Linked DNA regions of Ovis aries. Each later gene encodes a partner of the first gene's protein in a complex. Links are inferred from orthologs where the notes say so. Each region holds a gene or a part of one and is shown in the gene's direction. Other genes may lie near its edges.

Region 1 (4,738 bases):
TCCCCTCCTCCCAGCTTCAGGGCTCAGGCCTGACTTCTGATGCGCTCTGTGACCTCATCAGCCTCTCAACTCCAGTCTGCACTGTGCGCCCACAACATCCACATCAGCCTCCACTCCAAGCTCATCCTGAGTTCCAGGCTTGTGCCCTACTGTCCCCTGGATGCTCCCCGTAGGGTCCCCCAGGAGTCCCAAGCTCACCATATCCAAGATCTGCTCCAGATCTGCCTTCTATGCCTCCCCACCGAGGTCTGTTCTTCCTCCTCTGCTTGTCTCTGTGTCTTTCCACATCCTGTCCACCTACAGATCCTATGAGCGCTGCCTTCTGGACACCCTAGACCTGCCCACAGCTCATCCTTCACTTGAGGCCTCATCTATCTCTGGCCGGGACGGTCCTCCCTAGCCCACTCCTTGGTCTCCCTGTTTCTGCCCTGTGGAGATGCTGAAAATGGCTGCAAGCACAAACTTCTCAAACCCAACCAGCAAGGGCTCCCAAGATCTGCCCCACCTGACCCTCTGACCCACAGGCCTCCTTGCTGCCAACATGCTAGGCCTCAGGGCCTTTGCACATGCTGTACCCTCTACCTGATACACTTTCCTCGACATCCCCAGGGCTTCTACCCTCTCACCCTTTGGATTTTTGTTGGAACCTTCCATGACCACATTTGAGACTTCTCTATTTTTTCTTCCACAGCACTGTCTCCTTCTAACACGCTGTATCATTTACTTATGTCCGCTGTTTCTGTCCTGTCTCTCCCTGGCATGTAAGGATGCTTGGTCTGTTTTGTTCCCCGTCTCTTTGGCTCCTCATTAAATACTGAATCATTGAATTAATATATTACTGAATGAGAAGTTACTGACACAAGTAAGCTGGGCTGAGCAGGCCTGAACAAACCTCCTGAACGAACTCGGAGGGGAAGGGCCGATGCAGAGGTTGTGCACTCTTGGGGTATCCAGGCAGGGGCTGGGCTGGGGCTCAGCTGCATTTTGTAAGCACCAGGAACTATACCAAGCTCCTCCCAAGTACGAGCATCTCTTTAGATCCTCTAAAATGGGGGACACTTTATTCTTTTCATTATACAAAACGGAAAACCGAGGCTCCGCTCACACTTCCTCAATCTCTCCAGATTCTAAACACTGTCCAGACTGACGTTGAGCAAAAACCACCACTCCCGAGAAGCCGTGCCGTCAAAGCATCGCGAGAACTTCCGAGGGGCGGGTGGGCGGTGCTGTTTGAAAGCTGCTCGCGCAACCAACCGCCGCTTTAGGAAGGCTAGGGCTGCCCTTGGCAGTGCCGCTCCCGAAGGTCGCTGTATTCAGGCGTTCGCCTGCGACAGCCCTGCACGGGTAGACGACGTGTTGGGGGCCTGATCAGGACTCGGAGTAGGCACTGTGGGCCCTGGTCGTGCTGGTCGCAGGCGCAGTGTGTGAGAGCGGCGGGAATCATGGACGATGAGGAGGAGACATACCGGCTGTGGAAGATCCGCAAGACCATCATGCAGGTGAGCCGCGCGGAGGCAGCCCTCCTTGGAGAACGCGGTGAGGGCGTGCCTGGCTGCGCCAGACGAACTGGGCACGTGGCGGCCGAGGCGTGAACGGCGGGTGCTAGGGCCCGTTGATGAGGACGAGCCTCTTCACCCGCGGCGGCGCGGCTGGAGCGGAGGAGTCGAGCCCCAGAGCCCCCAGAGAAGGGGGTCAGGATCTCGCTCGAGCTGGAGAGAGGGAAGGCGGGAGACGCTGGGCCGCCTTGTATTTGTGTTTCTGGAGGGTTGTGGTGTTACAGCCCCTGATCCTTGAAGTTCTTAATCAGTAAGAATTGATAACAGGCCAGACTAGAAGGTCAGGCAAGGCTTTGTTGGAGCTTATGCTGCAGCAGGAGGGAGCGAAAACAAGCAACAGGCGCCCTTCTTAGGTCGTCTTGAATGGGATAATGGGATGAGGGTGGGCGCGGGTCCAGGGGTCATGCCAGAGTGATGATTCGGGTGGTCTGCCTACCCTCTGGGTGGTGCTGTGTGCAGGGATCAGGCCTGGCACCCAGCTTTTGCTCCGGCACCTCAGAAGTGGAGGTTTTGACTTTCTGTTGTTGTCTATCATTTGCTCGAGCTGGGCAATTGCACGGTTATTTTTAGTCCCGCATGGTTTCTGGGTATTCTGTTGCTGGAGAAGATGTTTGTCCAAGTGCAGGCGCTGCCGCAAAGGGTCCCAGCTCCCAGCCTGTCTTATCAGCACCACCGTAAGTGCATAACGCAGAATCCCGGGTTCTTGACGGTGGAAGGAACCCTGGTGGGCTGGTCTGACTGCTGTCTGGTGGTTACTTAGATGCCTTGCCCACCAACTCAGTCTCAGTGTCACAGCAGTCACACCAGCTTTTTCTGTGTACCACATGCTTTAAGCCACCATGTGAGAGGGGTCCAGTGTGATGCCACAAAGACTTGGGGCCTTGATCAAGAGCACCCAGCCTCCTGGGAATTGTGCTGGAGCTAAGGCTGGGCTATGACCCAGCCTCTTCAACACTTGGCAGAGCTACTCAAGACAGGGCGGGAGCAGCTGCGCTTCTACCTGATGGTGTCGGGGCTGCGGGAGAGGAGACCCAGGTCTCTGAATGGAGACTCGGCGGGGGGTGGGGGATGTGGGCAGGGCTGGGTGGCAGCTCCAACCTTCCTTTGTCTGGGTCCTCACCTAGTCTGTGTGCTCACAGAGCCCTAGTTTCTGAGCAGGACCTTGAACTGCTGGGCCTCAGGCTTTTGCCTGGTTTCACAGCCAACACCCGCCCAGCCTGCTGTACCTGTCAGACCTACGCCCTGGGGCCTGACTCTGGACTCAACATCTCCGCTTGCATCCCAGGCCTTTCCCCAGTCTCCTCTGCGGTGGGTGAGGCCACCGGAGCTCTGGCTGCTGTCCTATCTCCACTGTGCGATCGATCACCTGCCCTTTCTCTCTGCAGCTGTGCCATGACCGTGGTTACCTGGTGACCCAGGACGAGCTGGACCAGACTCTGGAGGAGTTCAAGGCCCAGTTTGGGGACAAGCCCAGTGAAGGGCGGCCAAGGCGCACGGACCTCACGGTGCTGGTGGCCCACAACGACGACCCTACTGACCAGATGTTCGTCTTCTTCCCAGGTGAGGGCTGCTCAGGGCCAGCTCACAGCAGCCACCTGCTGTGCGCCCCAGAGTCATGCACCCACCCTTATCCTTCTGTCCCCTGCCCTCCTTGCTCTGGGAACCCCTTCTCCAGCTTCCCTCTTCTCGATCACCCATCCATTCTCTCTGGGCCTAAAGATCACATTTCCAAATACAGTTTCATTCTGAGATTCCAGGGCCAGGACCCCAACAGAGGGACTTTGAGGGCAGAGTGGGTTAGTGGAATGGGAAGTGAGAGCAGCTGGAAGGGGCGGACATACTGCACACAGACCCTGGGGCTGCCCTAGGTGCTGACCTGCTGGGCTCCTAGGGTCCGGCTGTTCTGTGGCAGGCCCTGCATGCTGCCAAGACCATGAGGACCCCCAGTGCTACGGCATGGAGATGGGTGGTCTGTGTCTGGCAGGACCATACTCTCTGGGTCAGCTCACCTCAGCTTACCTCTGAGAACCCCAGCCCTTGTCTCATGAACTCCAAGACTAAACCAAATCCAGGGCTTCCCAAACCTCAGAGCCACTGAGCCCTGGCCAAGCCCAGACTCCCAGACCCCACTTCCAGAAGAGGTCCCTGAGGTCCAGGGCACCCAGGGCACTTGTCAGCTCCCATGTGACCTGGAGGCAGCCAGCTCCCCCATTCTGGGAACCAGCTGCCCAGTTCTTGCTTTGCACACGGGGAGGCTGAGGCCCAAGAGTGGGAGTGGCACCGCAGTGCCTTGGCAGAGCCAGGCTAGAACCTGGGTGCCCGATGGGAAGGGGCCCTGCAGCACTGATCAGCCTGTGCTCTGCCTGCAGAGGAGCCCAAGGTGGGCATCAAGACCATCAAGGTGTACTGTCAGCGCATGCAGGAGGAGAACATCACACGTGCCCTCATTGTGGTGCAGCAGGGCATGACGCCCTCTGCCAAGCAGGTAAGCCTGCCCCGCCAGGGTGGGATGGAGCCTGGCCAGCACCTCTGTCCCCAGGCCCGGGGACCGGCTGCCACACTAGCTCCCAGCCACCCTGGGAGCATCCTGACAGGTACTTACCTTTCTTGATGTGAGATGAAGGCCTTATTACTGCTGAGAGCCTGGGCGGAGTTGGGTGGGGTTTCCCAATTTATGATGCGCGATGTCTTTCTGAGCCACAAAGGTAAACCCTGCTCCACTTCCAGGGTGCTAGCTGCCCACGAGGAGGAGCTGGGTTGGGGCAGGCCTCGGGGCCACAGAGGGGCGGGCGGCTGCCCCTGCTGCACTTGAGGGTTGACGTCTCTTCCAGTCCCTGGTTGACATGGCACCCAAGTACATCTTGGAGCAGTTTCTGCAGCAGGAGCTGCTTATCAACATCACAGAGCACGAGGTAGGGGTGCGGGGGCTCGGGTGGGATGAGACTGGAGACCCAGCCCCCAGCCCCTCACCTTTTTAGGAACAGCAGACGTCCGGGGGCCCCCTAGTGTGGAAAGAAGGTAGGGCGATCCAGCCTTCAGTCAGGAGTTGGGGGGCGGGGTGCAGTTTCTATCTTCCCTGCAGCCCTGGCTCCCAGGATTGTGCCCTGTGGCCCATCTGCAGGGTGGGGGTGTAGGCTCCAGACACGCACCCCCTCCCTCCCAGTGTGGAGTTAGGACTGGCT
Region 2 (5,014 bases), on another chromosome or scaffold:
AGAGTTGGACAGGACTGAGTGACTGAACTGATACTGAAAGGGAAAGTTGGACTAATCTCATTTCTATTTTCAAAGGAGACACACACAGAGAAGAGAGAATAAAAACTTGCCTACCATCATGGGCTCAGCAGACCTTTCCTTGTGAGACAAATTATTATGGGGCTTGTCACTTTCTAGTAGCTTGCTCAGAGTTTTAACCCTCTCACTAATTTGTGTGTTTCCATTATTTCAGAGAGTAGCGGATCAAAACTTCTCTAGGAGAGACCACAGCTTGTTCTCTTTCAAACAGGAGAAAATAGTGATGGCTCCGGGACTTTCATACATAAACAGCTTAGCACAGCTATGAGGTTGAGAGGGGGTGGATGGACTGGGAGAGAACTAGGAAACTCGTCTTGAAGCTGTCCCTTCAGGACGACAAGATTCTACACTTTAGATTGTAGGTTCCAGATGAATTAAAACAGCAAAACTTTTAAGACACTTGTCCTCATGTTTTATAAAAGATCAGGGATATGTCAACTCTCCATCTAATGGATGCAATGATGATGTAGAGCTGGTTGGATGGGAGGCCGGGGACAAGGTGGAAAGGGGTCTGCAACTGAAAGCAAACCTCGACAGTCTTCGTCACAAGGCTGCTCCCTTGACTAATGCTAACCTCCCTCATCTGACGGGCATCTAAAGAGGAAGGAGTCCCAATCTCTTCTGTTCCACTACCTCCAAAGTCTTGAGCCCCTTCCTAAAGTGTCCTACTTCATCCCTGCTTCCTTTCGTTCCTAGTGACTAGGATTCCTCCTCCGCCTTCACCGTTTCCACTTCATGCCCGGTAAGAGGTCGACTCACCCCTTCCAAAGGCCCAGTTTAGTTCAGTCGCGTCCGACTCTTTGCGACCCCATGTACTGCAGCATGCCAGGCCTCCCTGTCCATCACCAACTCCCGGAGCTTGCTCAAACTCACGTCCATCGAGTGGGTGATGCCATCTAACCATCTCATCCTCTGTCCTCCCCTTCACCTCCTGCCTTCAATCTTTCCCAGCATCAGGGTCTTTTCAAATAAGTCAGTTCTTCGCATCAGATGGCCAGAGTATTGGAGTTTCAGCTTCAGCATCAGTCCTTCCAGTGAATATCCAGGACTGATTTCCTTTAGGCTTGACTGCTTTGATGTCCTTGCTGTCCAAGGAACTCTCAAGAGTCTTCTCCAATACCACGGTTCAAAAGCATCAATTCTTCGTCGCCAAGGGCCCAGCACTCGAGCCAGGCGGTGCTCTGCAGAGCGCCCTTGCTTGCATCGCGAGGTCCGAGGAGCGCTAGAACTGTAACTTCCAGAATGTTTCGCTTTGGTTTTTGTTTTTTTTAAAAGAACCAACTCAAAAAGAAAAAAAATAAAAATAAAAAAAAAAAAAGAACCAACTCAGGAACAGGGGAAGTTGTAGTTCCCAGAACTGGGTAGTGAGGGGAAAACAACCGGAGGCTCAGCTTCAATCACCTGCTTTCTTATCCAACATCACAAATCCAGCCTGAAAGTAGCGCTACAACCTTCCTTCAAAGGTTCCGCTCCCTCCGGGGATCAAGTTTGCGATTAATTATGACGTAACAGCCAATCGACAGGCCGGACGACAGGGCGCTCTAGCCCGCTTGCTCTCGCTAGTCCGCAGCGGCGTAGAGCCGGCGTTCTAGCTCGCGGAGTTGGCTTCCTCTTCTCGCCTGTCCCAGGTAAGCAAACCCCCAAGTCGAAGTACCGGACCCCGGTTTGGAATTCTGGATATGTGGGCTCCTTGGTCTTAGAGGCACAGGCATACGTGGGAGAAGGACTCGGGTTCTGTATGCTTAGGTCCAGGGACAGAATAGGAATGACCCTTCAGTGGGGAGGGAGCTACTCTCGTTTGTTAGCAATCTCCTCTTCTTCCCAGTCCTCGACCACCCTCCGTCATGGACCTCGCCGGCATCTGCTCCAGCTTTCAGTCGGACCTGGATTTCTGTCCAGATTGCGGCTCGGTCCTGCCTCTGCCCGGGGCTCAGGATGCGGTCGCCTGTACCCGCTGTGGCTTCTCCATCAATGTGCGAGGTAAGGGGCTTGTACGCAGCGACCCCGGCAGAGGGCCCAGCGTGAAAGGGTCAGTGGCTTGAGGACCTTAATATCGGTTGGATTGAAGAGGGGGACCCTGAAGCAGGAAATCAGGCACTTTTGGCCTTGGGTCGAAACCTGAAGGGAAGAATATAAGGCCTCCTGTCCTAACCGAGAGGGAGTTATGGGTGTCAGCACTCCTTACTGTCTCCACAACCAGTTCTTACTGTTTGCGCAGACTTTGAGGGGAAGGTTGTGAAAACCTCAGTTGTGTTTAACAAACTGGGGACAGCCATGCCTTTGTCGATGGAGGAAGGACCTGAGTTCCAGGGACCTGTGGTGAGTGAATGACATCCAGGACTGGCCCCATCAAAGGAGGGTGGGAAAGAAATGGAGGGGCGATTGCACAGATCTGGAGAGTTTTGTACCTAATTCCAAGAGGGAAGGGTGTGTGCTGTGCTGAGTCGTGTCTGACTCTTTGTGACCCCGTGGACTGTAGCCTGCCAGGCTCCTCTGTCCATGGAATTTTCCAGGTAAGAATACTGGAGCGGATTGCCATTTCCTCCTCCACGGGATCTTCCCGAGCCAGGGATGGAACCCGCGTCTCCAGCATTGGCAGGCGGATTCTTTACCACTGTGCCACGTGGGAAGTCCTTTAAGAGGGAAGAGGGGTCTTTAAAACATCAGAGTCTGGGGAGTGTGACAGCCTGATGTCTGTGACCGGAAAGGGAGATTATTAATCCCACCAGTTGCTTTCCAGGTTGACAGGCGCTGCTCTCGATGTGGGCACGAGGGAATGGCATACCACACCAGGCAGATGCGATCAGCCGATGAAGGGCAGACTGTCTTCTACACCTGTACCAACTGCAAGTGCGTATCCTTTTCCTCCTCTCTGCCCTTTCTCAATCTGTTTGCGACCTAAACAAATCCAGTGACTTACTTTTTGTACTGAATAAACAGTTGTGTTCTTTGGTCCGATCCCTCTCTTCTGTACAGTTGAAGTAATAGGGAAACTTGAGGTCGTTTTTTATTTTAGAAAATTACACTTTTCTTATCCTTTTTATACTCGGTGAATTAAACCTTTTAAGATATTTAAAAGGAAAGAAAAAAAATACAGAAAGCTAATGTTGCTTGATGATCTGGGTGTTACTGTTGCATCTTCCACTGTACTCAAGGTAGTTTTACTTCGATGAGAATTAGTCATGGGTGCTTTAAAGAACATGATTCTCTGAATAGTTTTGAGAACTCCCCTTTGTCTTTGGGGTTCTGTGGTTTCACTACAGTGTATCTGGATGTGGCTTTCTTTTGTTTATCATGTGTAGGATTTGCTGGGCTTTCTGAAAGTAAAGATTGATTTTTTTTTCTTTTCCGTCAACCTTGGAAAATTATCTGCCATGTCTCATTGAATATTGCCTTTACCTATGTTCTCACATTCTGGAGTTCTAATTAGTTGCTTATTAGACTTTACCCACTACTCCATTTCTCTCACCCTTTCATAATTTTCCATCTATTTTCTCTTTATATTGCTTCTGGGTAAATTCTTCTGGTCTTTCTTCCGCTTCACTAATTCTGTCTTCAGTTTATGTCAGTTATTGTTACTTAAAAAAATTTTTTTTTTTGAGTTCTGCTTATTTTTCAAGTCTCATTTTTAATAATTCATGATTCTTTAATCCTATATTATTTGTAATTCTTACATATATTTAAATATATTAAGCCTGATATTTATATTGTGTCTCCTAATTCTCATACCCACAGTTTTTGTGGATCTGATGCTGCCGTTATTCCTGCAGACTTTCTCATCGTGCTTTTTTTGTTGTATAATTTTTTAATATAAGCTCAGATTTTTTAGAATTTGGAAAACTATATTCTTAGCATGTGTGTTTCCTCTTCAGGTGCCTTGAAGCACTACCAAGCTGGAATGACTTTAAATAAATTCTCAGCTTCATGTGTTTTGTAGCAAATAGGTAGTATGGATTTGTGCTGCGAATCTAATGTAAGGCCAGCTTTTGGTTAGAAATTCTAGAGGGAAATTTTTTTCTCTCTCTACCTAGTGAGACTGTCAAATTCCTCTTCTGCAGAGTTGGATTATTTTTCTTGTTCACTTCTATACAGGTGTAGCCCTTTGGAGGTTTCAAACTTACTCTGAGTATCTCCTCTCAGACATTGTAGGCTTGTCTCTGGTTCACTCATGTGGCTCTCAAAACAGCAAGGGCACCAGTGTACCAGGGGCTTCAGTTTTAATGTACCTGTCTAGATTCCTGGTTTTGTATACTTTCACTCACTGTGAAGATTGCCTTTACTTTCTTGCCTTCTCATCAATGGATTAAAAATATAGTTAGAAATGCCTTTGGGGAGTATTTCTCAGTCAGGCTGAGAAATTGTTTAATTTAATTTAAACAACTAATTTAAGAAAATTAAAAATTTTTCTTTTTTTTTAATGACCAGAAGTTTTTCATTTTTATGAGGTCTAGTTTATCCTTTTTTCTTTTATGGCTAGTGCTCTGTTTTCCTAAGAAATCAACATAATTCATAATTTGCAAGATACAGTTTCAATCCCAGCATTTTTAATTGTCTTGAATTTGCGTAGGGTTGTTTAGGGGAGCTAGTCCTCTATGGTCATAAATGAAAGTCCTTCCTCAATTATTTCTTTCATCTTACACTGCTAGTACCTCTTCCTTTGGTCAAATATAACAAGTCTTTTCTTTCTCTGTAGGTTCCAAGAAAAGGAAGATTCTTGATTTTTTTTCTGAGCGACTCAACAATCCTTTTCTTACTTGGAAGCTGGAGGATATTGGGTTCTTAGGTCCTTTGTCCATCTCCCAATTACAGTGCTCTGCTCGCGGAGGAAAAGCAGATCGTCGTGTGTCGATTATCATTGTCCCCAGAGTACTCCTACCCTCATTGAGCTTCCTTATTAAAGTTATATTTTTCTATAAGAGCCAGACATATGTATGTT

What was found.
Region 2: POLR2E (region 1) and POLR1H share a complex: the UniProt entries of both Homo sapiens proteins name them as parts of the pol I pre-initiation complex. The link is inferred for Ovis aries from reciprocal best matches to the Homo sapiens genes POLR2E and POLR1H.

Annotation. Positions count from the first base shown.
Region 1 is NC_056058.1:41,257,144-41,261,881, reverse strand, and holds the start of POLR2E (DNA-directed RNA polymerases I, II, and III subunit RPABC1), read left to right. Parts: upstream 1-1,377; 5' UTR 1,378-1,442; coding exon 1,443-1,499; intron 1,500-2,941; coding exon 2,942-3,116; intron 3,117-3,925; coding exon 3,926-4,041; intron 4,042-4,387; coding exon 4,388-4,468; intron 4,469-4,738. UniProt on the Homo sapiens protein: DNA-dependent RNA polymerase catalyzes the transcription of DNA into RNA using the four ribonucleoside triphosphates as substrates.
Region 2 is NC_056073.1:27,950,655-27,955,668, reverse strand, and holds POLR1H (DNA-directed RNA polymerase I subunit RPA12), read left to right. Parts: upstream 1-1,646; 5' UTR 1,647-1,706; intron 1,707-1,903; 5' UTR 1,904-1,922; coding exon 1,923-2,058; intron 2,059-2,296; coding exon 2,297-2,397; intron 2,398-2,818; coding exon 2,819-2,980; 3' UTR 2,981-4,771; coding exon of another isoform or gene 4,772-4,796; 3' UTR 4,797-4,996; downstream 4,997-5,014. UniProt on the Homo sapiens protein: Core component of RNA polymerase I (Pol I), a DNA-dependent RNA polymerase which synthesizes ribosomal RNA precursors using the four ribonucleoside triphosphates as substrates. Can mediate Pol I proofreading of the nascent RNA transcript.